Pelodiscus sinensis: one gene and its partners. The protein of the gene in region 1 interacts with the protein of each later gene in a biochemical or structural test. Links are inferred from orthologs where the notes say so. Each region holds a gene or a part of one and is shown in the gene's direction. Other genes may lie near its edges.

Region 1 (9,848 bases):
ACTGTGGAGTCTCAACTGAGAGCCAGTCACTAGCAAGAGTCTTCCCAGTGACTGCTTTGCAATATTGATTGTGCATGTGCATTTAGGATGGATTTAGAAGTTGTTTGCAGTGTAAAGCAATTGAAGGCAGTTTGGGCCATCTTCAATGCTGTGTTTTCATTGTCCCAGTGGAGTGGATTGCAAAATGCAAATAAGTAGCAGGGATGGTGAAGGATAAGTGAGACTTTAAACATTCTTTCAGTTTTAATTATCTTGGGTATTGTTTGTGACACAAAGAAGTTTGTTAAAAAATACGAGCTAAGGTTTTCAACAGCAACCTGTGATTTTTTTTTTTAATTCAACTGGAGGCGCCTTAAAGGATCTAGACTTTTTTTCCTCAGATGGCAGGTGCTCAACCCTCTCTAAAAATCAGGATCCTTTACAGGAGCCTCGAGTGAGGGTCCCAAAAACAGAGTGGTCCCCCCCCCAAATAATTAGTCCCTTCTGAAAAATGTGACTGTGATTTTTAAAGAACATTCAGTGTGCTAAGTATTAGTAACATAGACTCCCTCCTAGGCTGTCTCCTAGTTCAGAGTGAGTTTCCCCCTGTAAATGTCACTCTGTGTCTATCTATACTCATTTAAGGGATGGTTAAAGAATAAACCAGAGAGAAGCTGGGATAACCAAAACAGGTTGAAAGTGCAGCTGAAGGTGGAGGGACATCCTGGGTATGTCTATTCTGTAACGCAAGCCCAGGCTTAGTAGCACTCCACTTAGCAGACCCTGGACTTGTTGATTTAGAGCAGGGTTTCCCAACCTATGGGTCGGGACCCAAATCTGGGTCGCCATTACATTTCAAAAGGGTCACCAAGTGTCTCTCCAGGTGGCTCTGCCCTCCCTCCGTTTTTCAATTGCCTTGGGTCACCAAGTCTTTCTCAATTGTCAAAATGGGTCCCCATCTGGAAAAGGTTGGGAACTGCTGATTTAAACTCATTTGTAACCCCAGGCTAGGAATTTTTGAACCATGGGTCCAAACCTGGGGCTTCAGCATCTGCCTTGCCTGAGCCAAACTATGCACATCCCTGACTTCCTAGTGCCATCCCAAAATATGGCTGCCTTAACCCTTAGTTTGTGGTGCAGTGTGGGAAAACTTAACTGTCCAACACAATTGACTGGCTAGAGAAGTGTTTCTCAACCTTTTTTTTCTAAAGTATTCCTTAAAAAAAAAAAGTTAGAAGTATCCCCAGTACCTACAGTTTTCAGACACACACGATTTTTTTCTACCACTGCAACACATTTGTTTAACAACTTAATCGTTGCCGGGTGGGCAATGAAATTTTTGAGTGTAAAAAGTACAAAAATAATAGAGCACTGTAAAACTTAAAACAAATTCAGTTGTCTCAATTTCAGTAGTGTTGACGTACCCCCCCAGACTTTTCTTGAGTACTGAAGGTACTCGTACCAGTGGTCAAGAAACACTCAGCGAGAGGACTAAGACAGTTGGACCATGGGACTGTGGGATATTGTTGGCAGACTCCCAGAGCACAACTCCAGTGCGGCAGGAAAAGGGCTTGAACCCAGGCTGGCAGCTTGACTCAGGCTTGTACCCTCCACTCCCATGGGGTCATTAGACCCTGGGTTAGTGCCATTTGCACACAGATGGAAGGGGTGGGGGGGCTAGGCTTGAACCTGAGTTCAAATACTGGGCTACACTGCAGTGTAGACATATGACATTTACAATAGGTGGACTCACAAGCTTCCACAACTGCGGTTTACTCTGGCAGTGCCTCACTAATCCTCCTGTGATTTTATCCAGGTCAGGGATAACTACTTTTTTCAACTCCAAGGAAAATATATTTAATCCACTTTTAGATAAGCCCAGAGCACAATCAGGCATGTGCAGGGGAGAGCATTCCTACCAGGCCAGTTCTGCCACATGAGTAAGCTGGAAGAACAGCCGTACATCAGGCAGAAATGCAAACATGATGACGGATTTGTCACACACGCCATCAGAGAAAACTCAGCAGCTTGTGGCCATTTAAACAGCACTTTTCGGCTTTTTAACCACTCTGTGAAGGTGACGCCTGTTAGGTAAATACCTACCAGTTACTCCTGACTTGCATTGGAGTAAAGAACAGAATTCAGGCTCGACATCAATATGGAAAATTCTGTGGTTCGGAACTGGTCAGGTTCAACCTGTCGTCCAAACTCCCAGTCTTGTGCTCTAATCACCAAGCTTAGAGAACCTCAAACCTTTTTGCGGTGTGGATCACATCTAAATATTGTTCTAACCTAATTCCTCTCTGATTCGTAAGCATGTGGATCACTTTCTCATCCAACCACAATTGTGTAATACCCACGTGCCAACTGCAGCAACTCTTTACAAGGCGAAGTAACAGAGGGAAACAATTTAATAATATACATTTGGATTTCTTAATGCAAATTAACAGATGGGGGGGGAAAAGGAGGAAAGCCATTGCTATGTGACCCGCCAGCTCTATGTAGACCAGTGGCAAGTGTTCTGCAGTTCATCAGTGCCCTATGGATTATGGATTATAGTTTGGGAGCCTCTGTACCAGGTCCCGTATCAATAAATCTAAAACTTAAGTAAAGGGTCTAGTGTACAGTGAGATACTTGGAAAAGGAGAGGCAAAGATTTGGAAAAAGAATAGTTGTTTGCCTATAAAGCACGTTAGAATGATACATTTTCTGTATACAAAGAGTTTGCATAACTCACAATCTTGCATAAGTGGGACTGTGCAAAAGCAGACAAAATTATTGGAAGTAGTTCTCTTGGTTGCCAGGAAATGTATTGTGATGCATTAGCTCAAGGACAAACAACAAACATTTAAAGAATGGAGGGAAAGCATCAAAGTCTGTATCCCACGGAAGCAAGAGATTACAGGGAACACTGCTCCCAGGCTTGATTCTGGTCCTACGCTATGGTCTTCTACACTGATTACAAAGCTGGGGTCAGCATTATTTCAGCTTAACATGTGTGTTTCTGTACAAGAATGTTTGCTAAGGTAGACAAGGCATCTGTGTGCAATAGGGACAACATTGCTGACTTTGGTGACATGTGGTGAGGAATTTGGACTGGTCTACACACTGGTTTGACTGCTATAAACTATACTGGCTTAGAATCAATAGTTAACTTCCCTGCAAAGTGGCACTAGTTTATCTACTAGGTATTTTAGAGAACCTTTTGATCTGTTTGTTCAAGAGCTCCTCCTAAACTATAAGAATTAGGACCACCACATTTGGTAAGCAGATTCCTTTTGTCATAATTTAAAGCCAGGTCAGGGTTTGGCTGTGCCAGAATAAATGAGATGTTCCTGGAATTCAATTGTTTCTCATAAAATGGAAAGGGAGGGAGTCTAGTAGGAGGAACAGTTATACTGGAGAATGACCATGCGGGGGCAGCAAGGAGCCAGAGCAGGGGACCAGGACAGCTGTACCCCCATTGAGCCCCCAGGGATGGAGAAAGGGACAGTAATCTACTATATATTGCAGAGACTTTATCAGTCTGTCTGTCTCCCCCAGCCAGGGAACATGCATTCTGCCCCTGGATGTGCTCGCTGCAACTACATTGGCCATGGACAGGTACTGCTCACCTGGCCCTAAGCTGCTGTAGTGAGAGAGGGCTGGGGTTGTTCTCTCTCCCCAGAGCAGCCAACATATTGAACCCCTCATTGTCACCACCACCACTCAAGAGCAATGATACAGATGAAAAAAACAAAACGTACTTAAGGACCCGAGCAACGAGGGGCAAATCTAGTGCATGGTTTATAAAAGTGCTTATTCCATATTCAAAGTCCAATACATCCCCAATGTGCCAACATGCTCTGTAACTGTTCTTTGTTATTTAATAATCTGCCATCATTCAAATTCCCTTTTATTCTCCTACCTGCTGCTGTTCAGCTTGGTTGTTCAGTGTCTGCCTGTGTGTGACACGAGTCTGGGCTTGGGGAGGGTTTGTGCATTTGCAGGGCTGGGGCACTCTGCAGGTGGGCAAAGAGGTAAGGAGTATCCTGTGCAAGGGTCACCTGGTGGAGAGAAGGCAGTGGCATTGGTCCTGGGTGGTAGGGGTAGGCTGGCTAGTCCCCAGGGCTGTGTGCAGTGGCACTGGTGGTAAGGGTACATGGTAGGGTAAGCTAGTCCCCAGTGTGTGCAGGCAGGCAGGCATTCATGGGTGAAGGGCTGGCTGCAGGTCCAGCTGGTCCCCAAAGGAGGGTGACGGGGCAGGGTACAGGGCAGGTTGGTCCCCAGCAGTGGGTGCAGCAGCAGCAGGTCCCCAAGGGTGGGTGACAGGGGTGGGGCAGGCTTCCAGTCCCAGGGCTGGGGGCAGCAGTAGTGGGGCTGTGGCAGGACACACTGGGTCCCTGGGGCTGTGGGATGGGGGAGGGTGGCAGGCTGGTCCCCAGGGGGGCTAGGAGCAGGCTGGCCCCCTGGAGCTGGGGAAAAAGCGGGATGTGGGGCAGGCTGGCTCCCTGTGGGGTTAGGAGCGGGGTGGGCTGACCCCCTAGAGCTGGGGGAGAAGCGAGATGCGGGGCAGACTGATCCCTGGGGGGCAGGAGCGGGCAGGCTAGCCCCTTGTGGGGTTTGGGGCAGGGCAGGCTGGCCTCGGGGGCTGGGGGAGAAGCGGGGTGCAGGGCAGGCTGGTCCTGTAGGGGGCTAGGGGCAGGGCAGGCTGGCTCCCTGTAGCTGGGGGAGAAGCGAGATGCGGGGCAGGCTGATCCCCGGGGGAGGGGAGGGGCGGCTGCGGGGCAGGCTCGTCCCCTCGGGCTGGGGGGGAAGCAGGGTGCGGGGCAGCTGCCGGGCAGGCGGATCCCCTGGGGGGTGGGATAGGCGGGCCCCCTGGGGCTGAGGGGAAGCGGGGTGCGGGGCAGCTGCGGGGCAGGTGGGCCCCCTGGGGTTGGGGAGAAGCGGGCTGCAGGGCAGGTTGCTCCCCAGGGGGTAGGGGCGGGTGGTGGGCAGACGGGCCCCCTCGGGCTGGGGGAGGTGCGGGGTGCGGGGCAGGCTGATCCCGGGGGGGGGGGGGGTGGGACAGGCTGACCCCCTGGAGCTGGGGGAGAAGTGGGGCTCGGGGCAGGCTGATCCCCAGGGCAGGTAGGGGCGGGTGAGGGGCAGGCGGGCCTCCTGGGGTTGGAGAGAAGCGGGGGGCGGGGCCGGCGGGCCCCCTGGGGCAGGGGGAGAAGCGGGGGGCGGGGCCGGCGGGCCCCCTGGGGCAGGGGGAGAAGCAGGCTGTGGGGCAGGTTGCTCCCGGGGGGGGTAGGGGCGGGTGGGGGCCGGCGGGCCCCCTGGAGCAGGGGGGGAAGCGGGGGGCGGGGCCCCTGGAGCGGGGGGGAAGCGGGGGGCGGGGCCGGCGGGCCCCCAGGGGCAGGGGGGGAAGCGGGGGGCGGGGCCGGCGGGCCCCCAGGGGCAGGGGGGAGAAGCGGGGGGCGGGGCCGGCGGGCCCCCAGGGGCAGGGGGGGAAGCGGGGGGGCGGGGGGCGGGGCCGGTCGCTCCCCGGGAGGAAGAGCCCGCAGCGGGGCGCGCGCTCTCGGTTGGCCGGGGCCGTGAGGGGGGAGGCCCCGCCGCTCCAGTCCCGGGGGCCCGGCAGGTGGCTCGCCCCTCCCCGGGGCCCCTCCCCCGGCCGCGTCCCGTCCCCAGCCCGGCTCCGCGCCGCCTCTTGCCGCCGCCCGCTCCCAGCTGACGGGGGCAGCCCCTTGTTTACCGGCCAGGCAGGCAGCCGCGAGCCCGGCCCGCGCCGCCAGCGGCCCGACGAAGCGGCGGGAGAGGCGGGCGCGGGGCCCGGCGGCCTCCGAGCGGCGGAGCATGGCGCTGAGGGCGGCGCTGGCGCTGGCGGTGGCCGCGCTGCTGGGGGCCTGCTGCGGCCCGAGCCGCGGGGAGAGTAAGTAGCGCGGGCGCGGCCTAGTCCCCGGGGCAGGTGCCCCCGCCACGCAGCCGGCGCTGAGGGGAGCCGCGCTCGCCCGCCCCCCGCCGCGCGGGCTGAGGGAGCGTCTCCCCCGCGCGGAGGTGACTGTGCCCCCTGCAGCCCGAGCGGGGCGACAGGGCGGGAGGGTCGCCCTGACACCGCCCTTTGTACCTGAGCGGGGGGGGGGCAGTTCCAGGACTCCCCCCCCCCCCCCGAGCACTTTCTTGCTTTTCATCCCCCCCCCCAACCAAATGCCTTTCTTCAGGGTGGGTTTGGGTGGGAGCTATAATGAGGGGCGGGAGTTGCCTTAAATGAACAGAAAGTGGCGTCTATGGAAGGACTGACTGATTGATTGATTTGTGTATTAATTTATGAATTAAAAAAGGGGAGTCAAGGTGCGCGTGGGAAGCTCTCCGAAATGCAGCCAGCGTGCAACGTACCTGCGTGTGACTGAAAAGAGGTCTAGCAACAGCTACAAAGATAACGGGGGGTGTTTATTGGAACAGACACATGGACTAGGTCAGGAGGAAACTCCTTTATTCCTGCTTTGCTTGGCATAGGCTAGTTGGCATTAAATGTGCCCATCTGCATTTTTTTGTTAAATCTCTAAGGTGCTGCAGAACGATTGGTTGTTTTTTAAGGTGTGTGTGTGTTTTTTTTTCTAGTGCAGACTAGCACGGCTACCCCGAGACATTTGTTTTTGGTTTTTGTTACTTTGGGTTCGGGATAAATGAAAAATCTTTCGTTTTATGAAGTTGCTGGTAACTTTACCTTAGTGGCCATGAATATTTACTTCTCACAAGTATTTTGAAATGGGGCCTCTAAGTTGACTTGTGAATCAGGGTCTAAAACTGTTTCTCTTAAATGTGGCATTTGGCATGTGCAGGGGGTATAATTGTATCATGTGTGCCTATATATAAAATAGAGGGTTGAGAACTTAGCCCATGCTTTTCTGTTGGAATTTACCCTACAAGTAATGTCTTTGTAAGTCTATTTTTGTTTTAAACATGAAAAAGCATGCCACTCTAGCCTTTTCCTCGCTATATTACAGAATTCTAACTCTTTTTTTAAAAGTTAATTTCAACACCAGATATAGTTTCTGAAAGCTCTTAGCATGGTGTGGGCTTAGAATGGCAAGGATTTTAAATTAACCACAAAATGGTTCTTAAACAGGTTACAGGTATTAAAAGCAAGGGTGTGGAGAGAAGTTACATTAATGGAGGGATTGGGGAGATTCCTAAATGAAGCTCACAACTATCTTAACGAGTGTCAGACCATTGTTTATGGCTGATTTTAGGTGGATAAGCTTGCTTAAATAAATGACTTAAGCTAGCATTTACTGTCTGAATCTAGCTTGTTTTTGTTTTTATAGAAAATGAAAGAACCTGCTGGTAAATATTTGCTTAAAGAGAATTAAGTACTGAAATTGTTCATTTAATAACCTTCATTGTACTTGGCATGTTTCCCACAGAAGCAATAGCAGTAGGGTGGTTCAGAGTCCAGATATTGCATTGATTGGTACGTCACATACATACAATAATAAAGGTTTCAAAGCAAGAAACACTCCTGACTTTTGGAAAAACAATCTATTTGGCTGGTCACGTAATCAAAAATACCTTCCTCTCTTCTCTCGCACGCTCTTTTAAAAAATTATTCATGTATTCACTTTAAAATTTGAGAAGTACTACTGTGTTTTTCAACTAAGAGTTGAGAGATGGCAGGCAGCCCAAACTGTGGTGTGGGGAAATACATGAAGATTTCATTCTCCAGTGCACAACGCTTTAATTTTAGTACCGATATAACTTTAATTCAGTGACCTCAAAGTTCTTTACAAATTGTTACTGGTACAAACAAACTGCTGATCTTGTGGCTTTCTGTAGCACCATTTGTTCTTGGATTGTTTATGTGTTTATGAATGTAATGAATTAATCCTCACAACATCCTTATGAAATAGGGAAGTATTATTTCTGTTTTACGGATAGAGAAATGGGATCAATGTCCACCGAGTCAGACTATAGCAGAGCCCAGAATGGAACAGGGGGATATTACTTAATTTTATTACGTATATAGTGCCAGTACCGTCCTAGGTATGTTAAGGATAGGGATGTAAAATCCTGTTTAATCAGTTAACTGGACAGGTGAGGGGGTTGCTTCAGCTGGGCTGGAGCATGCCCACCTGAGTCTTGTTGCTTAGCCAAGCCTCCTGGCTGTGTCAGGTGTGGGGCTGCCCTGCTGGTTAATTGTAATGTGTAAGCATCACTTGGTTAACCATTCATAACCCTAGTTAAGGATATGTAGGAAAGTCCGTGGTCCAAAGAATTTTCAATGTTGTCTTAATGCCCATGTCACTCCTCTAAACACTAGCGCACACTCTTATATTTGCAGAGCATTAGAGTATGTATTGAAAATAACACATTATTTAATGTGAAGGTGCATTCAGCAGTTTGAAGATGAATGCATACACAATTGTTGCACAAGCAAAAAACCAGTGAGACATTATTGAGGATTTAATTGTTGCTCCATAAGCAGGCTGTTTTTGTTGAAATAAAGTGACTAATTCCACACACACAGGTTATGCCTGCTCTTTTGAATGAATCTCTATCTAAATTACAGAAGTGCCTGCTCTTACAGATGTAAAACTCTGTAAAGTTCCTTAAAAGATGCCCCCCCTCCTATTTTATAATAGGAAAAAGCCAATGTCACCATAGTTGAGATACAAGCCTTCTCTCTTGCAGTTGTAGGGTTCCACGAAATATTCTTTTGCTAGTTGATTTATCCAGTGTTGCTTGGGTTCTTAACTCAATTTTGTTTTTCTTAATTTAAATTATTATTCTGGGTAGGGACGTTAGTGTATAGATATTTAAACAGTGAACTGATAAGCCTGGGCTTATTAGTTAACCAAAACAACTACATGCAACACCTCCCCTTTGCTGCAGAGGCAGAGAGGTCTTAAAATGAGAAGCACTTACCACCAAAAATAACCTGTCAAATCTTTCAGAGGGCAGTCCTAGGGATAGTCAACTTCCTGACAAAAAGTTATGTCAAGGTGAAGGAATATCTTTTATTGGACCAACTTCTGTGGGGGGCGGCGGGAGAGAGAGAGGCTTTGAGTGATTCAGACCTCTTCTTCGAATCTGGGAAAGTGATGAAGAGTGTCACAGCTAAATACAAAATACAGGACTATGTATCACTTTTTGTTTCAGCTACATCAGACTAACACAGCTACATTTCTATCACTAAGCTAAATACAAGTTTGAATAGATATGTGCAACTTAAGCTAAGCTGTTTTAGGGGATCATTGATTTATGTGTGACTTATGCTACAGTATTTTGGGGGCTGGACTCTTCCCTTTTGAGGTGTCTTCCAGCCCTATGACTTTATGATTCAAAGTGAAGTGGCCCTGTGGTCATAGGTCAAAAAGGGGGGTTAGTGGCTGTACTGAGACTTAAAATCTTGTGCCTTTGTTAAGGCCATGTTTTTAAGGGTCTAGCAAAGTTATGAATTCAAGCTCCCTGGCACACTCTTTGAAAGTGCTTTGCGATTAAAAACTTGTCATTTGTGAGACTGGAAGAATATCTGCCTGATGGCAGAGACTTGAACCCCGACTGTTTCCTCCTGAAGTCAATGGGAGCCTTCTGCCTTATCTAAAACGCTTTAGTATCTACTTTTTCACCCTGCGGTTTATCTAGTTCTGTGGCCCAGCAGAGTCATCTTCGATTATTCTGGTCTGTCCTTTGCCTTTTGTAGGGGACCGGTACAGCAGTAAAGAAGTAGGTCCTTATTATGACTTTAATCAGGAGCGGCCCTAGACTAGCTGCCAGCAACTGGCGCCCTAGGTGAACCATGCAATCGGTGCCCCCACCTCCAAACCCCTCAACGATATTGCACCACCATTTGGGGCCCCATTTAACTTGGCGCCCTAGGCAACCGCCTAGTTCGCCTATATGGACGG
Region 2 (10,016 bases), on another chromosome or scaffold:
CAACGAGGGCCCTGTTTGTTGCTTTCAGCGCCAAGCGAAGCAGGCTCTTGCCCCGCGCGTCCCAGCTGGGCACCAGCTCGTACAGCTTCTGCATCTTCTCCGGGTCAGTCCTCTCAACCGTGACGGCTTGGAGGGCTCTGCTCTGAAGCCCCAGTGCCTGCACGTCCAGGGGAGGGAAGACATCCCAACTCGCAGCTGAGAAATTCAAGCGCGTCTTGTCAAAGCGCACCCCTGAGAAGTCATTTAAACACACCAAATGAACGACTGTCTTGATCATACCACAGGCAGCTGCTGGCCTGTCCCATCCTCCCATTTATTTCCCCAGCTGCCCTCCACCCCCCAACTTTGCTGGTCCTGTGGCTGGAGGCGGGGAAAGAAATTTTACTCCTGCTGCTGTTAAGCATAGTGTACATAGGCGACCCCGCCGGCCCCCGTTTCGGGGTCCTCTGACCACGTCCCGTTTGGACTTGATTCCCACTCAGTGCCTAGTCTTCCCGCCTTCAAGGCGGTGAATTCGGGTTGTCGGTCGTGCTTTATGTAGCTGCACGGCCGGTCCCTAGCTCACACGTTTCTCCCCCCTTAGGGAGGGGGAGGGAAAGGGGGGCCCGGGCCCGCCCTCACTCACGGGCCCCAGCCCAGGGCCCTAAGGACACGGAGATATTTAGCTCCGGTCCGGCTGACGAGGCTCCATGCCGAAACGCGTCAGCCCGCCAGCTCCAATGAGCCCTGCCCTGGGCTGCTTCCTTTCCCTCCTCAGGTGCCCTTCCTCCCCCTCCTCGGGGCGGTCACCTTTGGCTCGTCCGTCAGGCTGGCGGTCGGGCGTCCGTATGCCCGCACCTTGCTCTGGGCTGGCTCCACAGCCCAAGAGGACTGTCGTGGCCGGGCTCAAAGGGAGGTGGTTTCTCCCAACCTCCGCCTCTTTGGCAACAAGCCCGCTCGCGGCTGCCGCCCGACTCCTCTCTCCCCCCCTCGTGAGTGGAAGGGGGTCCATTTTAAATTCCCCGCCGGGCGCCCGCCTCCGCCTACGTCACCGGGCGGGCGTTTCCCCTATCGCCCGTCCGGTCTCCCCATTGGCCGGCTCTCCTGTCACTCCAGGTGGGGAAATGCTGCCCCCGCTATCGCCGCGCCATCCGCCACGGCGCTACCGCTTCGGGGGGGGGGGGCGGCCGGCTTTCCCTGCCCCGGCGCGGCTCGCGTGCACGCCGCGCAGCCCCGGCAGGGCCCCCCCCTTAACCCCAGGAATGCCTGCTCGGCGGCGCCCCAGGGACGGGCAGGGGACGCCCCGTCACACATAGAATCACAGAACACGAGAATGGGACGGGACCTTGAGAGGTCATTAAGCCCCGTGCCCTGCCCTCACCGCAGCACCAAGCACAGTCTGACCATCTCTGAAGAGTGTCTGTCCAACCTGCCCTTAAGTATCTCCAGAGGTGGGGATTCCACACACCCCCAGGCAATTTATTCCAGTGTTTGACAACCCTGACAGGGAGGAAGTTTCTCCTAACGTCCAACCTAAACCTTCCTGGCTGCAATTTAAGCCCATTGCTTCTTGTCCTAGCCTCAGAGGCCAATTTGTCTCCCTCCTCCTTGTAGCATCCTTTTAAATACTTGAAAATCGCTATCATGTCCCCCCTGTCTTCTCTTTTCTAACCTAAACAAGCCCAGTTCTTTCAGTCTTCCCTCATAGGTCATGTTCTCTAGACCTTTCATCATTCCGTTAAAAGCATTTCCAGAAAATCATGCCAGTCTAGATGTAGCCCTGGTGTGGACCCTGGGTTACTTCAGTTGCCACAGTTCTGCCTTCTTCTGGGGTGGGGGTAGGGCAGCAGTTAAAGTGCTGGGGGACAAGTCCTAGGACAGAATCAGACACCGGAGGGACACCGGGGGAACACAGAGCTCTGCTCACAAAACCAGGCAGGGTCAGGCAGCCAGACAAAGAACTTTAAGGGGACACTTTCAGGAGCAGGGAAAACAAGCTCATGAGGGGAACCAGTTCCCTGTTGTACCCTCCGCCCCCATCTTTCAGCCCCAAACTGACTCCTCTGTCCCCACACCAACACTGTTTGGTGATTGCCCCTCTGTGTTCTCTGGTGCTGTTTACACGGGGGGCTGAGCAGGCCTCAGAAAACAGTCCCCTCTCCAGCTTGCAGGGGAACATGCCAGCTGCTTGACATACCCACTGTGGTAGCCTAGCTCTTAGTGCTTAAGAGGAGTTAGTTCTTGAACAAATGGACTCACAATGGACGGACAGACAGACACACCTACCTTTTTAAAAACAGAGATATAGATTTTGAGTGTTGCTTGATTTTAGCCAAACTGTGTTAGTTTCTATTATCTGAAAAGTGTGACTCACCAACTTTTTAAAAAAAATATGCCTGCCTGGGGAACGAGTCATGTGTGTTTTGCTATTCTCAGGGCTTGTATTTTTCTGTAACAGGGTTTCATTCACCTGGGCTGGGTCTACACTGGCATGAATTTCTGGAAATGCTTAAAATTGAATACTATTCCGTTTTCAGTTTTTCCGGATAAGGAGCGTCTACATTGGCAGGCTGCTTTTCCGGAAAAGCCCTTTTTCCGGAAAAGCATCTGTGGCCAATGTAGACGCGCTTTTCCAGAAAAGACTACTGGGCTGTCTACACTGGCCCTTTTCCAGAACAGTGTTCCGGAATAAGGACTTATGCCCGAGCGGTAGCAGAATAGTTTTTCTGGAATAGCGGCTGATTTTGTACAGTAGAGCATCGTTGCTTTTCGGGAAATTCAAGGGCCAGTGTAGACAGCTCGCAGCTTATTCCGGAAAAGCGGCTGATTTTCCGGAATAAGTGGCCCAGTGTAGACACAGCCCTGTTGTTTTAAATCTCTAAACTGAGCGCTCAGTTACATCAACTAGCTGACTGGCTGCCAGTGATTTCGTAAGAGGAAGAGCCTGCCTGGATTTCAACGGAAGGCTCTTACAAGCAAGAAGATGTTTGCTTTTAGATGTAACCAAAGACCCCGAAATGCAGGTGAACCCCACCAATGCCTTTGGGAACACTAGAGTTACTTCTCACTGTGTTTCTGCAGGTGCTGGCCTGGTTAGATTGAATTTGTTTTCTTTCTGGGTGTGTAAAACTGGAGATAATGAAAGCAGATTATAAAGCAGCCACCTTGTGCTGCAAAAACAAAGGTAGTCGTTATGTTTCTTTATCAGAAGATTGGACAGAATTGCTTGTGTGTCCTTACAGGCTGGCTTGGTGACAGGTGTCTTGAAAGAAATCAACCAAAATAACCAGAACTGGTGTGATTATGTTGTGTTATTCTGACACATCAAATATGCAGAATTTTGCAACATGTGAAAGTAGTGCGCACAGAATGCTTAACTTCTCCTGGCAGAACTGCCCCAGGAGTATCATCTGCACCAGTCAACACCAGGCACCCTGCGTAACGCAGGCTGCCGGTTTAAGGTCTCTTAGAACCGCTGCATGCGGTGTGGGACAGTTAAATGGTTTAAATACAGCAGGTTAATTAAATTGGTGCAAGTTTGTGTGTAAATAAAGTCTAAGGGAGCCTGCCCAGCAGAGCCCTTCTCCTCTCCCTGGGCTCCACAGCGCCTTCTCTCTCCTCCTCTGCTTTGCACTCTGATTCATCCAGATCGGAGGGAGGCTGGCTTGGTGGCAAGGAAAAAGTCTGACTGAGACCAGAAAGCGGGAGGGAGCGTGTCCAGGGACACTCGGGGGGGGGGGGGAGGGTTGTGGCTGCACCCCCTGACTTGTGGCTTCCGTTGTGTCCAAGGGGTGAAGTTTAGCTCAGGGGCTCTCAACCCCCCCCCGTGCCAGCGCATTGGCCCCCTGCTCCGAGTTCCTCTCTGGATCCCTCCTTACCAGATGCTGAGAAGAGTGTCGGTGACTGGAACTGCGAGAACGGCTTCTCTGCTCCAAAGTCCTTCCCGGGGAGGCCGCCTACGTAAGAGCTCCCCTGCAACTGGAGTTGAGGCTTTTTGGGCTTGCCCTGGGGCAGCCCCGAACCCTGGGGTCTGAGCGCCATGCTGCCGCCCCAGGCAGAGGCCTCAGCGCAGCAGAGACCGAGTCAGACCCTGGCCCGGGAGCAGGAAGTCGCTGCTGTGCCGAGTAGGAGGAGGCAGAGCTCGAACCTCCCTCCCCCCCGGACTCCGAGCCCTTGGTGAGGCAGGCTCAGCCCATGGCTCCCCAGGAGAGTTCGCTCAGCGAGCGTCCCAGGGCCAGGGTTTAAAGCGGCTGTCATGTGGGAACTGCGGTAATCTAGTCACCTTATACACTGGCAGCAGAAGAGAGGGCCTGGGAGGAACCTGAAAAGCCTTCCTTCACAGACAGTCTAGGGCCCAGACCCCAAATCAGTAGGAGCTGGACACTTACATGCCTTTGGTAAACCCTGATTGGGGTGTTAAATCTGCAGGTGTAGGAACTCCTTGCGAGAGGATGTGGTGAAGCCTAGAACTTTAACAGGGTTCAAAAAAAAGCTAGATAGATTCATGGGGGTTAGGTCCGTCAATGGCTATTAGCCAGGATGGGTAGGAATGGTGTCCCCAGCCCCTGTTTCTCTGGAGGTGGGAGACAGGGCAGGGATTCCCTGTTGTGTTCTCTCCCTCTGGGGCATCTGGTATTGGCCACTGTCCCCAAACAGGACACTGGACTGGATGGACCTTTGGTCTGACCCAGTGTGGCCATTCTTAATGCTGTACAATGTTGCAGCCAGGCCTCACCCTAGAGGTGGCTGCATTTTGAGACTGGGTGAGCAATCTCTCACTATCCAGACTGGAAAGCACGGTGGTGACATTTATTAGGAGAATATTTATATTAGCAAACAGATTAACAAACCCTGGTTCGTGCTGTTGGAGGATCAGATTGTCAGCCACTCCCGATGGGGAGTGATGGTCCGATGTGGAATCTGGGAGGAGAATCCAGAGACGATGCGGAAGGTGTATGAACTGGTCCTGAGCGGGACCAGGGCCGGCCGGCTGCAAGACAGTCACCAACACCAGGTGGAAGAGTTTTAGAGGAGCCTCTTAGAACGGCTGCACCCAGGGAGCTCCGGACTCCAGTCCTGGTCCTTCACCCCTCAGCAGGCTGTGCTAGGGCTCACACAGCCCCACCAGTCCCTCACCAAGGCCCCGCCCCAAGGCCTCACTTAGTCACGGAGACCCCTCCAAAGCTCCTGCTTCCATTAGCACTGACCTCTGGGGAAAGAGGCGCAGCAGGGGGTGGGGCCCGAAAAGCGAGGAGGAGCAGGGGGTGGGGTCTGGGGGAAGAGGCGGAGCAGGAGGTGGGGCCTGGGAGGAGAGGCGGAGCAGGAGGTGGGGCCTGGGGGAAGAGGCGGAGCAGGAGGTGGGGCCTGGGAGGAGAGGCGGAGCAGGGGGTGGGGCCTGGGGGAAGAGGCGGAGCAGGATGTGGGGCCTGGGAGGAGAGGCGGAGCAGGAGGTGGGGCCTGGGGGAAGAGGCGGAGCAGGGGGTGGGGCCTGGGAGGAGAGGCGGAGCAGGGGGTGGGGCCTGGGGGAAGAGGCGGAGCAGGAGGTGGGGCCTGGGGGAAGAGGCGGAGCAGGAGGTGGGGCCTGGGGGAAGAGGTGGAGCAAGGGGTGAAAGCCTGGGGAAGAGGCAGGGCCCATGGGAAGAGGTGGGACGGGGGTGGTTCTAGAAGTTCGGAAGTGTCCAGATTTCTGAAGTTTGAAAGTTGAGCAACCCTGCAGCCAAAGATGGACGAGTCCAGGTGCCCCCAGCGCTCCACTGAAGTGCACCAAAGCAGCTGCCCCGACTCACCCTGGCTGCGAAATCCAGCTTGACCCTCCTCCCCCAATCACTCCAGGCTGCCAGAGCCGGAGGCAGGAGAGCCCCCGGCGTGCGGAACAGCAGGGCGGGTGCTCTGCGGTAGGGGGCTCCCGCAGCCCCTGGTTCCCAGGAGGAAGGGTGGCACTCCCAGACCCCGGTGTGCAGGGGAGAGAGTGGGACCCCGGGCTCCTGGAGGGGAATGCAGGGTGCTCCCCAAGCAGAGTGCGAGCCCCCTCTCTCTACGCCAACAGCTGCCTGAGCCATTTGCTGTCACCCTGCCCTCCCCCTCCTGCTCTGCAGACAAAAAATTGGCCGGTGTCCTGTCCTTCCCAGAACAGCCGCGCATTATTGATCTATATATAGAGGCGGGGAGGGGCTGTGGGGCAGTCGCGCTGCGGCTGAGCCCATCCTAGCACAGTCAGCTGCTCCCTGGTGCCCGTCCGATCGCTGCGCCTCCTCGCCCTCCAGCCGGACACCGCTCCCCCGCCGTCTCCTCTGAGCTCAGTAAGACGCTGCTTGCTTTCTCTCCCCCGGAGCTATGGGGGTCTCACTTTGCTCCCAGGGCTCTATGCAGCCTGTAGTGACCGGGGTGCCAGGCTTAGAGGGCAGGGGGGAAACTCAAAGGGAGGCGTCATCTTTCTAACGAGTGCAGGACCGGGAAAGGTCAGAGGGCCTGGCGGGGAGACGGGCTCGGATGCTTCCCTTTGGGGTAACCGGGAGCGAGCTGGACTGAATTCGCTCTCTCTGGGCAGGGACCAGAAACGCTCCGCAAGCCTCCTTCTGTGTCTGCCTGGCTGCGTCTCTGTGGCCGGCCCCTGCGCTATCCCACGCCTGCCCCCAGAGCTCCTGCCTCTCTTCTCCTCTCGTGCCTGTTGTTTTAACCCCTGGGCCCGGAGCTGGAGCTGAGGGACAGCTTGTCTGCGGGGAGAGCCTGTGGCAGGGAAAGCGGGGGTGGGCTGGAGAAGGGGGTGAGCTGGGGGGGCTGGTTTGGGTTAAAAAGTCGCTCTGGGCAGGGGCTAAAATGGTTCTTTGGCGTCTCTCTCTGTTTGTGGCTCTTCTGCCTCCCAGTCCACTCCCTTCCCCCTCCCAACCTTCAGCCGACATTCCCGCCCCATGGAGAAGCTGTCCCTGCCCCCTTTGGTGTCGGGGGGGGGGATGGCCTCGCCCATCGCTACCCATTAGGGATCCCTCCCTCCTGCTTCCGCCTCCTCCCAGCCCCCCTCTACCCCTTATTCCCAACAGCGCTGTGGACAGGTGGGGGAGGCCACGGTGAGACCCAGCTGCTCACGCCCCTCGGGAAGCGGCTTTTCCTGATTCTCAGATGTGGCCTGGCACTGGCATTCAGCCCCGTCGGGAGGGGGGGGGGGGGGCTCCGTCTTGCAGGCCGCTCCCCTCCGGAGCAACGGCACAAGCTCCACAGAGCCCCCTGGCCAGAAGGGCCCTTAGCCCGACCCCCTGGATAGCACAGGCTGGAGATGCCCCAAATATAACCCCCCCACACACACCCACCCCGTGCCTCATCCTGAGCCTCTGCTAATGCCCCCCCCCAGCTCCCTACGCAGTGCACCACAAGGCAGAGGGACCCCTGCCAGGCCACCTTGGCAGCTCCAATGCAGCGCAGTGCGGCCGCACACGCAGCAGGGCACGGGGCCCCGTGCGACGCAGCTCGGCACGCCCCGAATTCACCACACGTGCAAGGCGAGGCAGCTGAGACAGTGGCCGGGAATCAAGTCCACGCTGCATGTCTGGCAGGCAACATAATTCCCTGCGACATCTCAGACACCGAGGGCACCCCCAGGTCCCAGGCAACGCAGCCCCACAGAACCTACCGGGTCAGCAAAGGCCCATGGAGCTTAGTGTCCTGTCTGCCGACAGCAGCCAATGCCTGGTGCCCCAGAGGGAGGGAACAGAACCGGGAATCCTCGTGTATCCCCTCCCCTGTCGGCCATTCCCAAATTAATATAGTAAAATATATAAAAAATAAAACACATACAAATGTGAATCCCCAGCTCTCTCCTTCATTCGATCTCAGGGCACTCGACTAAGGGCGATTAGGATAATTTTATGGCTAGGGAAACTGAGGCACAGGGAAGTGACTTGCCGAGCGTCTTCACGCAGCACCGCTGGAAATAGCAGCGGGTCTCCTGCCTCCCAGTCCAGCCCTTTCGCCCCAGGCAGTACGCAGCCCCCACAGCAAAAGTGCCCTGCAGCAAAATGGCAGGGTAGCACCACAACTATAACACTGCCAAGCATTGTGCAGTGTGGCCTAGTGGCTAGCATGCTGGCCTGGGACACAGCCAGGCCCAGGGCACAGGTGGACAATTTCGGTCCCAGGCCTGCGGGAGGATGGGGACAAATGACGTCCCTTGCCTCACTTTTCCCACCTGTAAAATGGGTCTAAGGCTGCCATTCTCTTTGATAAAGCTCACTGAGCTAGACTGTCAAAAAGTGCTCGATAAGAGTTGGGGGATTACGACTGTGGTGACCAACACAGAACCCTGGTTCTCAAATATTAGCAACCGGGGCACCTCCAATTGGATTTAAATTCTTTGAGGACCCCCAAAATGGCTTCTCATTTTAAGCCCCACTCAGCCCCCACCTTCCCCCAATTGTCCACTCCTTCCATGTCCCTGCCCTGCCTCTTCCCCACCTCCTGCTGCCCACTCCCCCGAGCACCCCCATCCCCTCTCCCCTGCACACCGCAGAGGCAGGGGCGGGATTGAGCAGCAGGGCCGGCAGCCCCAGACAGACTGGCAGGCCCCACGCTGAGGACCAGGGCTCTGGCACCCAAGATGCAGCTAAAGGCTCCGTGATGTTGCTGGGCTGATCCTTTCCAGCCCCTGTTCTGAGGCAGGAGCATGTAAAACGTCAACACCCCCTCCACCCCGGCAGCCGTTCGTCTAACCTGTGCTTACAAGCAAGGGTGGGAACAGCCAGTGTCTCCCTGCGGAGTCAGAGCCTTTAGCTTCCCACTGCGCCACTGGAGCTACCGGCGGCCAGCAGTGACAGTAAGTTCACATTTCATACAGGCGCTGTCCTATTGCAACCCGGGTCCCCGCCCGCCCTTTCAACAGCGCCTTGCTTTTACCCCAGCTCAGCCAGCCCGTGCCGGAGCTGCGTGCCATGGCGCCCCCACTTTCACCTCCACCGACGGCAGAATCAGACCTGCCCCCCCCTAGCGCTGCCACAAGGGGGCTAAGCCCCACCTGGCCATTGCAGCTGGAGCGTTCCCTGCAGGAGCGGCAGGGCGGGGCGGGCTGAGCCCAAAATAATCCCTTAACCCCTCCTTGCCCGGGGTGGGGTTTGGACACCCCGTCCCACTCCCAGGGCAGCATGTGGGGGGAGCACGAAGGGTCAGGGTTGCCGGGGGTCTGGTGTTGAACCGGACAGTCCCGTAGCTGAGCTTCTGTTCGGGAAACACACTGAGAAACTAGAAATGAGGCAACAGAAAGGCCCAGGATTTCCTAACTCAGATGGGCTGTAGACTGGGATGGAATGTCAAGTGTGTCTGGTATTTTTGTTGAAACCATCTGGGAACCCTGCGAAGGGCCGTGTGCCCTCTGAATACGCTGGGGCAGGGGCCAGGGGCCAGCAGCCGGCAAACGGTTCATCCAAACACCCTGGTGTCTGGCCCAGGCAGAGCCGGCCCAAGGTACGGGCCAGCCGAGCTATTGCCCTGGGTGCCCCATTGTAGGGGGCACCGCGTGGGACTGCTGGGCCAGGCAGGGGCGGCACCATGCATGCTCTGTGTGCCCGGGGGTGGGACCACGCATGCTCCTGAGGCCCGGGGCGTGCAAATGGGTCAGGCCGGCCCTGGGCCCATGCTGCGGGTATTCACCTGTACTCACCGCCCCTGGACTAGGATTGGCACAGGAGGAGTCATGTGGGGGGGGGGAGGTCACATGACTGGTGCCCCCCTTGCGTCCCCCCCCCCCCCAGCAGTGGCCACCGCACGCTCCCACGTGGCCGACAAAGCCGACGATACGACGTGTGCCCCCCCCCCGGCCTCTCACCGCAGCCAAACGCTGCACAACCGAGGCAGGGCCGGGATGGGGAATTCACCGTGGGCCCCACTAGCCCCCTGGCCACGTCCTGCCACGCCCGGCCCACGGCAGCGGAGGGAGGAGAACGGGAGCCGTATTCGCCAGGAACGGTGCCATTCCCAGCAAGGCCTGTGGGGGAGGGGATGGAAAACAGCGGAGGGGCAGAGATCTGGAGGGGGCGCTCGGCTCCCATTACCGT
Region 3 (10,505 bases), on another chromosome or scaffold:
TGCCTGGCCAGTGGCTCCCTGGAGCTGACTTGGGCTCACCAGGGCTGTGTGGCACGGGGGCCAATGGATTGGGAAGAGCGGTTTGGGATCTGGATATGAGGCATGGGGGCCACTTACCTGTGGATGGCAACAGCCAGAACTCCACCCCCAGCCAACCATTCTCTTACCGATGAACCCTCCCGGTCATTCTACAGTATAGCTGTGCCTGCTAGCACACCCCTCTCTTTGTATCTCATAAAAACAATCCCATTCCAGGCACATCCCATTGTCCTGGCACAACCAAACCCTTTCTTTGCTTTAAGTTATAGTAAGAGGATGATGCATACCTAGCTCTTATCGTTTAGGAGGAGTTCTTGTACAGACTCACAGACAGACAGATACATAAGGTCTCTCAAATATAAAGCAGATTATGAAGAAGAGAAGACAGTGTTGCTACATAAAAAAGTTTTAGAAACTTGAGTCCCTGCCTTTGTAATTTATACTTCTGTGGCTGTCATTGAGTGGAAATGATCATATACCGACAAAATAGCATTGTCAACATTGATTCTTGCATGTTTCCTTTCAGTAGAATACAACTTATATTCCAAAAAAATAGTGGCTTATCTTGAAGGCTGTTTTACATTCAGGCTATTATTTCCATGATATAGTATACGGTAACTTTTTCAGAGATTTGTTAGCTCAGGAAAAAGAAGCTAACTATCTCATAAATCTGCTCTTCCCTGCAGTTATAAGGATCTAGTTCTACTGCTATAGTTAACCATTTTAATTGTTTTATGACAGTATAGTTTAGTTTCAAACAATACAGCTGTAGTTCTGGAAACTAAACATGTCTTGCTTGCTATTTATATTTGCCAGAATGTACAGGAAATATTCCTCACATGCTGGTGTTTTTGGTTTTTTGTTTTACTGCCATGATGAGACACATAAATATTATATGAATGAACTCTTCAACAATCTCCCAGTAAAATGCTTTCTATTTATATAAGTAAATTTATGCTCAGACACCCACTTACTAATCATTCAACTGGACACTCTGTCATAAGCACTTATAGAGGAATCTATCAACAAGTTTGGCTCCAGTACAAGTAATTTTATTGTCTGTAAAATGTAACATAATGACACACAGTGTATACATTTTAATCCTTTAAAATCATATGTAATGTCAAATAGACATGTTCTCACACTTGTAAAATATTAAAGTTAATTTATGATAAACTGATGGATCAGCAGTATTTAGGGAGAGTATGCTTATTGGAAGAAAGCCAGTTAAGCCTCAGAAATGGAAAGACCCTGACATAACCTTTGTTACTTTTTCATTGTATGTAACTTTTATGTATTTTGACACTGTTGTTTATATTTAATAGTCAATCCTGAAATATTTTGTGATACTTTGACTGGACAGGTGGAATAATTTTGGAAACCTGGAATTCCTGAAGTATAATTCTGACTTGCTTTGTGACATTGGGCAAATCACTTAACCTCGTTTTGTTTCAGTTTCCTCATCTTTAGAAAGAGTGAAGCATCACCTTTGTAATACATACTGATCTCTTATAGTGACTAATGCTATAGAATTGCAAATATAAGTCATCCCCTCACTAAAGAAGCCTATGTTGAATATGATTAACCAATAGGCCCAATAAGGTTAGGCCTAGCTACAGGATCATGTGATGTCACAATAACATCATTCCACACTTTCTAGGCATGAGGAGGAAACTTGCTTCATGAACAGCATGCCCCAGGCAAAGGAGGTACTGCATCAGCTGCCTTGAACTGCATCCGTTGCCTCTCTACCCACAGCCAGTGAAGAAGAAAAGGGGAGAAACTTTCCTTTCACCCTCCCACTTCCCCCTCCCTGCCATATGGACATGGGGTAAAGGTATCGGAAGGCCTGGTCTGTCAACCTGACCACAGTGGTTAGTTCAGTCACCAGTATCTTCTCTCTTATGGTAGCTGAGGATGGGGGACGGGAGTGTCTTACACTTCCACTTTGTTGGAGGCCAGGGAGAATATTACTGCTGATCTCATTTAGCTGACCCATGAGACACCTTCCTCTTCAGGGGTATGTCTAGACTACATGGCTCATTCGATGGAGCCATGTAGATGAGTTTACTAGACCATAGGAAAATGAAGCTTCATTTACATCAAAATAGCCGCCGCGCTATGCCGATCAGCTATTTGGCAGTATAGCGGGACAGTCTGGATGCGCTGTGGTCGACAAGGGAAACTTTTGTCGACCTCTCCAGTAAAGCTCATTTCAGAGGCACAAGGGAGCAGTTGACAAAGGCTTCCTTTGTTGACTGCGGCGCGTCCAGACTGCCCCACTGTGCCGCCAAACAGCTGATCAGCACAGCAAAGCGGCCATTTTGATGTAAATCACCGCTTCATTTTCCTATGTCTAGTGAATTTATCTACATGGCTCCGTCAACGGAGCCATGTAGTTTAGACATACCTCATCAGTTTTTCAGAGCCTCCCTCTCCTCCACAGCAGTGCCTTTCTTGTGATGGGGGGAGCTCCGCTCCACACCGCTCACTAGACAACATGATGCAAGAAGAGAGCTTTCAGTCTCCACCCCGAAACAAAGGGCCAGAACAAGGAGGCCTGCAGTCGCTCCTTGCTGCTGCTGTGAGGGCCTCCCTTGATGCCTCATCTGTTGCATTTATTTGAGTCATACTCCCTATGAAGCAGAGGGTCCATGGAGGAGAGGCTCCAGTAACCCTTACAAAGGAAGCCCTGTGAGGAGCTGGGAGTGGGGAGAGAGCTCTCTGGTACCATCATCCTATCCACCAGGTGGGTCTGCCCCACACGCCCTAGCAATGGTGGTAGGAGTGGCTTCCTACCCCTAAGGTCCTCAGGTAGAGTTGGAGATGCTGAGTGTCTATGATGGGTGAATGGTAAGCATATGGCTGGATCATGTGTATCTGTGACAGGCTATTTGATATGTGTGATAGACTGGAGAGATGATGTGAGGGAATGACTGAAGGATTGAGAGCTGAAAGAACACAGGCGAAGGACATGACACGTACAGAAAGAGGAAGGTGAGATGAAGGGACAGCTGTGAAAAGGCACCAGCATATACCGTAAAGGGGATGAAAGGTATGGAAAATGGAAAAAGATGGAAGAATAAAAGCAATGTAGAAATAGGAAATTACTTTTAAAAAGGTGTTTAACAGAAACTGGAATGACTATGTTATAATCAATGCATGCCAATAGTGGTTTCTAATGATAATGAGCACTGGGAATTTCCCTGCTTCCAGTGGCATTCATCGTCCTCTGTAGATAAAGCTGATTCTTTTCTGCAAGTGGGTGTTTCTAAGGCATGGTTCATGGAATGTGCTCTGCCCCTCCCATCTTTAGAATGTACTAGATTGCACCAAATGACACTTTTTAAAAAAAGGTTCCTTTGGAGGTTACCCCTGGATTCCTTGGAAGAGCCTTTTCTCCAAATTACTTGTCAACATGTGAGGCACTTAAAAGTATTATTTGGATTGTGTGGAGCTGCATGCAGGCCTGGTGACAGGTGAAATGAAATGCACAAGGACCCCTGTTGCTGAAAAGCTAAAAAAGTATTACAAGTGTGTGAGAGCCCAAGGACTGAGAATCCAAGAGAATAGAGGTGCCACCCAGTTTATAAATATTCCCCTGTTGCCATGTATTGTTCCAAGAACAAGAACATAACAGAGAGACAGGCACATTGTCTGTGATATAAATGATGGTATTGATAAAACAAGTGAGAATAAAATTGAAAACAGGATGGGCAGGCAAGAATAGGGAGGAAAAAAGGTCATGTAGTTACTTACTAGCTGATACATCTTGTTTGGAAGTATAGTCTACAAACAGCATGCACAAGTATGTTTATATGTGTATTTCTAAGACACTCTAGACTCTCTTTCCAGATCTCCTCTGTCACTGTCCAACCCTCCCTACTCACCTATTATCCAGGGCATTTAAAGATCTCCTGTCCCCTGTAAACATCCATCCAAACCACACTCCAACCCCCAGGCATGCCACCTTAGAAACATTTCACATTCTATTTGCTGTCCTCATTCCGCCCTCCCCACTGCTCCTCCCAGAAAAAGCTCTCTGCTGATCAGGCAGCTGATAATGGAGCCAATCCACTGGAAGTAGGGCTTCTGCCCCTTATAGTGCTGAGGCCCAATGACCTGAAGTTCTGCTTGTGCTTTGAGTGGCTTGTTCCAGGTGGCCAAGACCAACTGGTAAAATATCAAGATCCTACCATAACCTTGAGTGCTAGTGGGATGTCTCCAACATATTGACTTGGTATGGGCAAGCCCTGAGCCCTCAGGAACATACGAATTGCCATACTGCATCAGACCAATAGTCTTTTGGGTCCAGTATCCTGTCTCTGACTCTAGCCAGTATTAGATGCACAGTCAGCTTCCAGGTAAGCCTCATTATGATCTCTAATGGTTACAGACCGCAAAGTCTTTAAATAGACTCTACATTTCTACTAGAGCAGTGGTCCCCAGCCTGTGATCCATGGACCCCTGGGGGGTCCATAACAGTACTTTATAGGGTCCATGGAAAGTTTAGGAAAGGAAAGGAAATAAAAGTAAGGATTAGGCTCACCATGGGACTGGGACTATCCACCAGACAATTCTCACGTGGGGCTCGCTGTTTGCAACCGGCCTCACCCGCATGCCACCTCTGGCCCTCAGGATGGGATCTTGATACCCCAGGAGGCAACATCCATCCTCCCACCGCTAGCTGCACTGCTATCCATGCTCAAGCCCTCTCCTGCTACCAGTCCCGCAGTGGGCCCAATCCTTCCTTTTCTTTTCCTTTTCTTTTTTTTTTCTCCCCCAGGACTCCATGCCCAGCCAAGGGTGGAGTGCTGAGGCAAGACCTGCCTTTAGCCACGACAGGCCCCTCGCCATATCCTCCATGGAAGGGCAGGGATGGAGGGGCGGGAACTGAGAAAGCAGTTCAGGCTAAGGGACGTGATAGCCACCACTTCCTTTGGGGGATGGGGTCCATAAAATTTTAACAGATTGAAAAAGGGGCCCTACGCTTGAAAAGGTTGGGAACCACTGCATTGGAGTTTAGTTTGGGTTGCATCTTAGCAATGACAGGGCTAATTTCAGTCCTGCTTGGGAGGAATTCCCTCTGATTGGTTGCTTGCCCTACCTCCTGAGGAAAAGCAACCACTCAATGCAGCTGTAAGAAGCTGGAAGTGTTCTTCCCACTCCAATCAGGAGATGGCCCCATTTCTTACAGGAGAGGAGAGAACAGAAAGAGCTCTGTCAACTAGGGTAACTGCACTTCTCCCTTCCCTCCCCTGGATTGGCTCCTCTCCACCTCTACCTCCAACACCTGGCTTGGGAAAGGGCAGGAACCTTGGGAGTTACCTCCAATCCTGCTGCAGCCCCCTGGCTCAGGAGAAGTGGGTGAAGAGCAGCAAGAAACAGGGGAGCTGAGGTGAGAGGTAGGAGGAAGTAGGGGAAAAACTCATGTGGGGACAAAATTGATGGGCATCAGGGGGCAGAATTAATTGCTGGGCAAGTGATGGCAGATGTAGAGGTGAGGGCTTCTGCAGCAGGTCCCCAAATCACCTTAACAGATTTTCAAACATTGGCAACACAAATTGTACATCCACTTGGTGGGTACAATGGGAGTGCAAAAATAAAGTCAGATCAAAACCATAACCCAACTAAATATTTTTATTGCCATGCATTAGGATAATTCTGCAGAGATGCTAAGAAGCTGGCCTGGATTGATTGGTGCAGCCACTCCTGTTGCTACTGGTGCATTTCTTGGCTTCTTTATTTGCACAGCAGCACTTCAACCTCCTTTTCCATGACTAGTGACACAGCTTCTGGCAGAGCACTGATCTTGCTATCCTGTTGCATTCACTGTATCCGGACTAAGTGTGAAACAGCTTGGGACAGGCCTTATCCCAGTCAGGGTGACTATTTTCTGTTGTCACAACGTTCAGGCGTATTTGGGGGACAGCACGCTTGTGAATCGTGAGTATACAAGGGGGGAGGACGACGAGAGACGCCCAAATAAGTCGAAGACACCTTGTGTGCACAGGAACATGGGCGAGCCCAGTACACGCGTGTGCAAAGTGGCTGTAACTGCCGGGGTGGGTCTGCAAGAAGCAAGTGAGCACAATTTGCGTGTTGAGGGGCTGGGGTGGGGGCGCGTGAGTCGGCGCGCCCGGTGTGCTGCTGGCATGCCCGCGAGCCTGGGTGAGGCGCGTGGCCCGCTGCGGCCGGCGTTAGCGAGGGTGCAGCGTGTGCGGACACGTGTCGGTGCCGTAGCACCCAGGGCGCGGCTGGGCGCAGGCCAGTGGCTTCGCTCCGTCCGCCCGCCCGCAGCCGGGCTCGAAGGGTTGGCGCGGGGCGGGAGGAAGGCGGCGGCGGCCGCAGAACAGCCCCCTACAGCAGCGGGCTGCAAGCGCTGCTCCAGCGGAGCGCACTGGAGCAGCGCCGCTGCCCTTTCTCGGCTGGCTGCCGGCTGGGCGGGGAGGCTGCCGCTGGGCTGGGGCGGGGATGGCTCTGGCTGCGGCTGCGTGGAGGCGGCGCCGGGGTGGGAGGTGGGTTTAAAGCCTATTAAAGGGGGAGGGGGGCGGTGGAGATGATGCATCCTAAGCTGGAGAGTCAGCTGAGTACGGAGCAAGATCTGGGCGGCGGGGGCACGTAGCCCCGGGTTAATACCAGCAGCTCGGAGGAGGGAGCCGGGTCCGCAGCGGCGGTTCAGCAAGGGCAGAAGTTTTCTTTGTAGCTCCCCTCCCGTACGGAGGGGCTGCCGTATATATTTTGGCGTGTGCAATGGGAGTTTAACTTTCCTCCTCCCCGCTGGGAAGACCCCCCCCCCCCCCCGTAGCTAGCATCCCGCGCTGCCTGCTGCACTCCCGACCCCACCGGAACAGCAGCCACAAAACTTGATCGGAGCGTGCGAGAGGGAGGGCGAAGGAGCCAGACGCGCACAGCGAAGCACTCGAGAGGGGGAGGGGGCACTGGTGGTGTCCGGAGCAGCCAGAGGGAGGCCACGAGGGCGAAAGAGGCGCCGGGCAGCAGCAGGTAAGAGACTCAGCAGGGCAGGGGAAGGGTGCGCTGTGAAGTGGGCATGCCCCGTCCTGCAGGCGTCCCTTGCAAGGGGCAAAGCAGCGGGATCTGGCGGGAGGAGGCTGCACGAGCAGGGAACTGCTGGGAAAGGTCCAGGACTGCGAATGCAGAATGCGCTGGCTTAGGCGCTCGCAGAACAGGCTAGGGTGAGGGAGGACGCCTGAGGCAATGAGGCTAAATTACAAGGGGACTGCGCGCGTGAATGTACATATCGCCTATAAGCTGGTTGGGAGCTTGTGCGCTGAGGGTTCCTTAGTAGCCGAGGTTGGGAGGGGGGCGGGGGAGAGGAGTACGCAATTCTCTTTCCCTGACTTCGGATTTAGTTGGTCACTTTCAAAACTTCCTCATTAAAGCGGAGTGGAAAGCTGGAGCCACCTCCCCCCCCCCCCCCCCCCGCCTCCACTGACAAGACTTCAGGCGAGTTGAGTGCGGCGAATCCGTTGTTAGTAGTTTGCCGTGCTCTCTTGTCTCTCCTCCCTTGGACCTTTATTAGCCCCTTGGGGGAGTCACTGAGCCTGTGTGCATATTTGAACCATTTCGTTGTCAGATCTGAGATCCTTTCAAGCCCGAAGAAAGGAGGAGGGGGCTGGACTGCAACGATCAGAGGGGATCTTAAGTCCACAGAATAAGGTCCATTTCCCACTTCCACCGGTTCTTAGGCGTGCTGTACTTACTGGCCTGTACTTGTATTTATCGGGAATTGAAACAGCTTTTACAGGGCCTCAGGAAAGCTAAACTGTTTCTTTTGTGTTGCTTTTCCTAGAGGTATTAAAAGTTTAGGTCTGAAATGCTACCCCCATTTTTCTCTTTTGGCAAGGAGAATAACTTGAGGCAAAGGACAGATCACAGAAGTGCCACTCCGGATGCTGCTGCCTGCCCTCTCTTACTTCTTCCCTCTTCACCCCCCCCTTCCCCAGCTATCCTCAAAAACAGATTTGGGAATAAGGGGAGTCTTTGAACATTTTTGTGGGACAGTATTTTGGTGGCTTTTGGATAATATTGGGTAGTTTCTTGTAACCCAGAACGTGTGAAATAAGGCTTGGCAGGGAGAGGTTTTTACTTTCTTGCCCTCCCCCACCTTCAACTCATGATTGGAGGTAGAGCAGGAAAAATCTGTTCCACATGGGCTCCCCTTCTATACCTTGTTTGCCTTGTTGCAAAAACTGGGACCTAAACTTTATCATCTTATAAAAGAAAGTCTGCAATTAATTGGTTTGGCAGACCATAGAATCATTGAAGATTAGGGTTGGAAGAGACCTCAGGAAGTCATCTAGTCCAAACCCCAAAGATGCACTAGTGCAAAATCTCTTAAACTGCCAGGCCCACCCTACTCTCCCCCCTTCCTTAAAATCCACATAACATTTAATTTTAGAGTAGTATGGAGAGTGCTGATTCAGCACTTGAGAGCACCACTGTATCTGCAGTGGTGTTCTGTGTAAAATGTTTTGATTTGTTGAACTGGGAACATATGTTTCTGGTATGTCAAAGCAATACCGATCAAGGTTCACAAAGCAGTACTGTGCTTGTTCATGATCTTACTCCTATAAAGTGAGAAATAACAATGGGCATTATGAAGGGGGTGGGATGTTAGATTTCTAAAATTTAACTTAATAGTCAAATGAAATTGTATTGCATCTGGGAGGTGTGATCTTCTGAACCAAGCTTTTGTAGGTGGTGTGATCAATAAACAGTTGTAAGATTTCAGTTTAACTCATTCTTAAATCCATGGGCTAGTTGTACTTACAGCATTCAGAGAAACAGAGGAGGGCAACAAGGCTAATCCTAGGATAAAAAGGAGTGAGTTATGAGGACAGTTTAAAAAAAATGTGTGGCGATTGGACAACCTGAGTGGAAGAAGGAATTATGCCTGAAATGAAATGCTGTAAATGACAACCTTGATGGCTGCTTCAGTTCATTTAGATAGGCAGACGAGGAGTGAAGGGACATGCAGAATGCTCAGAACATACACATATTTTCCCTAGCAAGGTCTGAATGGAAGCAATGTGGCTATTCAAGAAGCATATTCTTCTCTTTCCCTTGTGTTTTGTCTCAAGATGTACCGTTGTAGTCTAATGAATAAACTTAATCTTTGAGCCAAGTCAGTCTTGATATCAATCTCCTTTTTAAATAAGCTGCACAACACCGAGCAAACACAGACTAAAAAGTGATGTTTGGTAACATCTGTTATGAATGATAATGAAGGGACCCCTCCACATGCCTGAAATTATTGTTTCTTCCTCTCCCCCCCCCCCCCTTCCCACCTGCTAATATTGTAGTTCATTTGCACTCTTTGTTCTTAAAGTAGATCTTGTTTGCTCTGGCTGGATATTCTAGTGAGTTTCCTTGGTTTTTGTCAGTCAAAGTATCCTCTTCCCTACTGTGGTGTGTGTTGGCTTCCAATCTCTAACCCAGGTGTAACTTGCTTTCAAAAGAAATAATAAACACCACTTTGAAAGCATTGCTTAGATGTAAAATGGATATCTGCATTTCATGTCTACCCATGGAAAAGAACAACTGTAGTCATAAAGTGAACATTTGCAACTCGCTGTCTTGTTTATATTCCATGACTCTGAATCTAACAAGAATCACTACAAGTTACCCTACAAACTGTGGGCTGGATCCTGAATTGCAGTCCACTGGCATGTAAGGGCTGAAAGTAGCTGGATCTCCATTGCTGTGGGTTCCTTCCAAGATGGGATGTTGCCAGCTGGCATGAAGACAGTATAGCTAGGCCATGTGCCATCTTCCAACAGCCCTTGCAACACTGGTGGGAAGGGGGAGGATGTTAATCTGACAGTCCCCAGCTAGCAGATGTCCCATTGGAGACTGTTAGCAGCTGGTGTACTGCAGAGCAGCTCTAGGCTGGGAGCCACAACCAACTTCACTTAGGTTTTCCCCTTAGATTATTTGTGGTGTCTCCGTATGTGTATATTGAGGTGGTAGTGCCTCACTGTGAATGGAGAGTTGCACAGCAAAAGCCTCCTTGCCAGTCATATAAAGGAATAAAACACCAGAGGGCTTTAGGGGGTAGTACTAGCTTGCACTTGTAGGACTCTGGGTTGTACTTAAATCATTTGACTTGTTTAGGTAAAGTTATCACTGAATATAGTAAAAACTCTAATTCCTTTACTTTAAAATAACTTTGAAAGTAGACTGAACAAACATTTAAAGATCAGTTAGCAATGTTGTATAACTTAATGGGTAGTGATAGTGTTGCTGTATTAATTTCTTGGCACTGTCATTCTATCCCTCTGTTTAAAGATTTCTCTCCCATCCATACCCAAGCTAGGAAAAGCAGAGAAACTATTTTTTTGAAACTTGAGCTGTCTGACACTATGAAATGTCCAATGGGCAGGTATGACATTGGATCTTATTTTTGCAGTATTTGCAAGCATAGAATCATAGAACACTAGAAC

Evidence for each region.
Region 2: the proteins of INSR (region 1) and TRIM72 form a complex in vitro, tested with the Homo sapiens proteins (2 studies listed by BioGRID). The link is inferred for Pelodiscus sinensis from reciprocal best matches to the Homo sapiens genes INSR and TRIM72.
Region 3: the proteins of INSR (region 1) and GRB10 form a complex in vitro, tested with the Homo sapiens proteins (5 studies listed by BioGRID and IntAct). The link is inferred for Pelodiscus sinensis from reciprocal best matches to the Homo sapiens genes INSR and GRB10.

What each region holds. Positions count from the first base shown.
Region 1 is NC_134729.1:20,787,937-20,797,784, reverse strand, and holds the start of INSR (insulin receptor), read left to right. Parts: upstream 1-5,738; 5' UTR 5,739-5,796; coding exon 5,797-5,872; intron 5,873-6,211; exon of another isoform or gene 6,212-6,415; intron 6,416-9,848. UniProt on the Homo sapiens protein: Receptor tyrosine kinase which mediates the pleiotropic actions of insulin.
Region 2 is NC_134714.1:131,222,434-131,232,449, reverse strand, and holds the start of TRIM72 (tripartite motif-containing protein 72), read left to right. Parts: upstream 1-6,140; 5' UTR 6,141-6,278; intron 6,279-10,016. Other genes in the region: uncharacterized protein LOC102458195, read right to left, coding at 1-231, 3,858-4,020. UniProt on the Homo sapiens protein: Muscle-specific E3 ubiquitin-protein ligase that plays a central role in cell membrane repair by nucleating the assembly of the repair machinery at injury sites.
Region 3 is NC_134712.1:156,339,376-156,349,880, forward strand, and holds the start of GRB10 (growth factor receptor-bound protein 10), read left to right. Parts: upstream 1-6,574; 5' UTR 6,575-7,044; intron 7,045-10,505.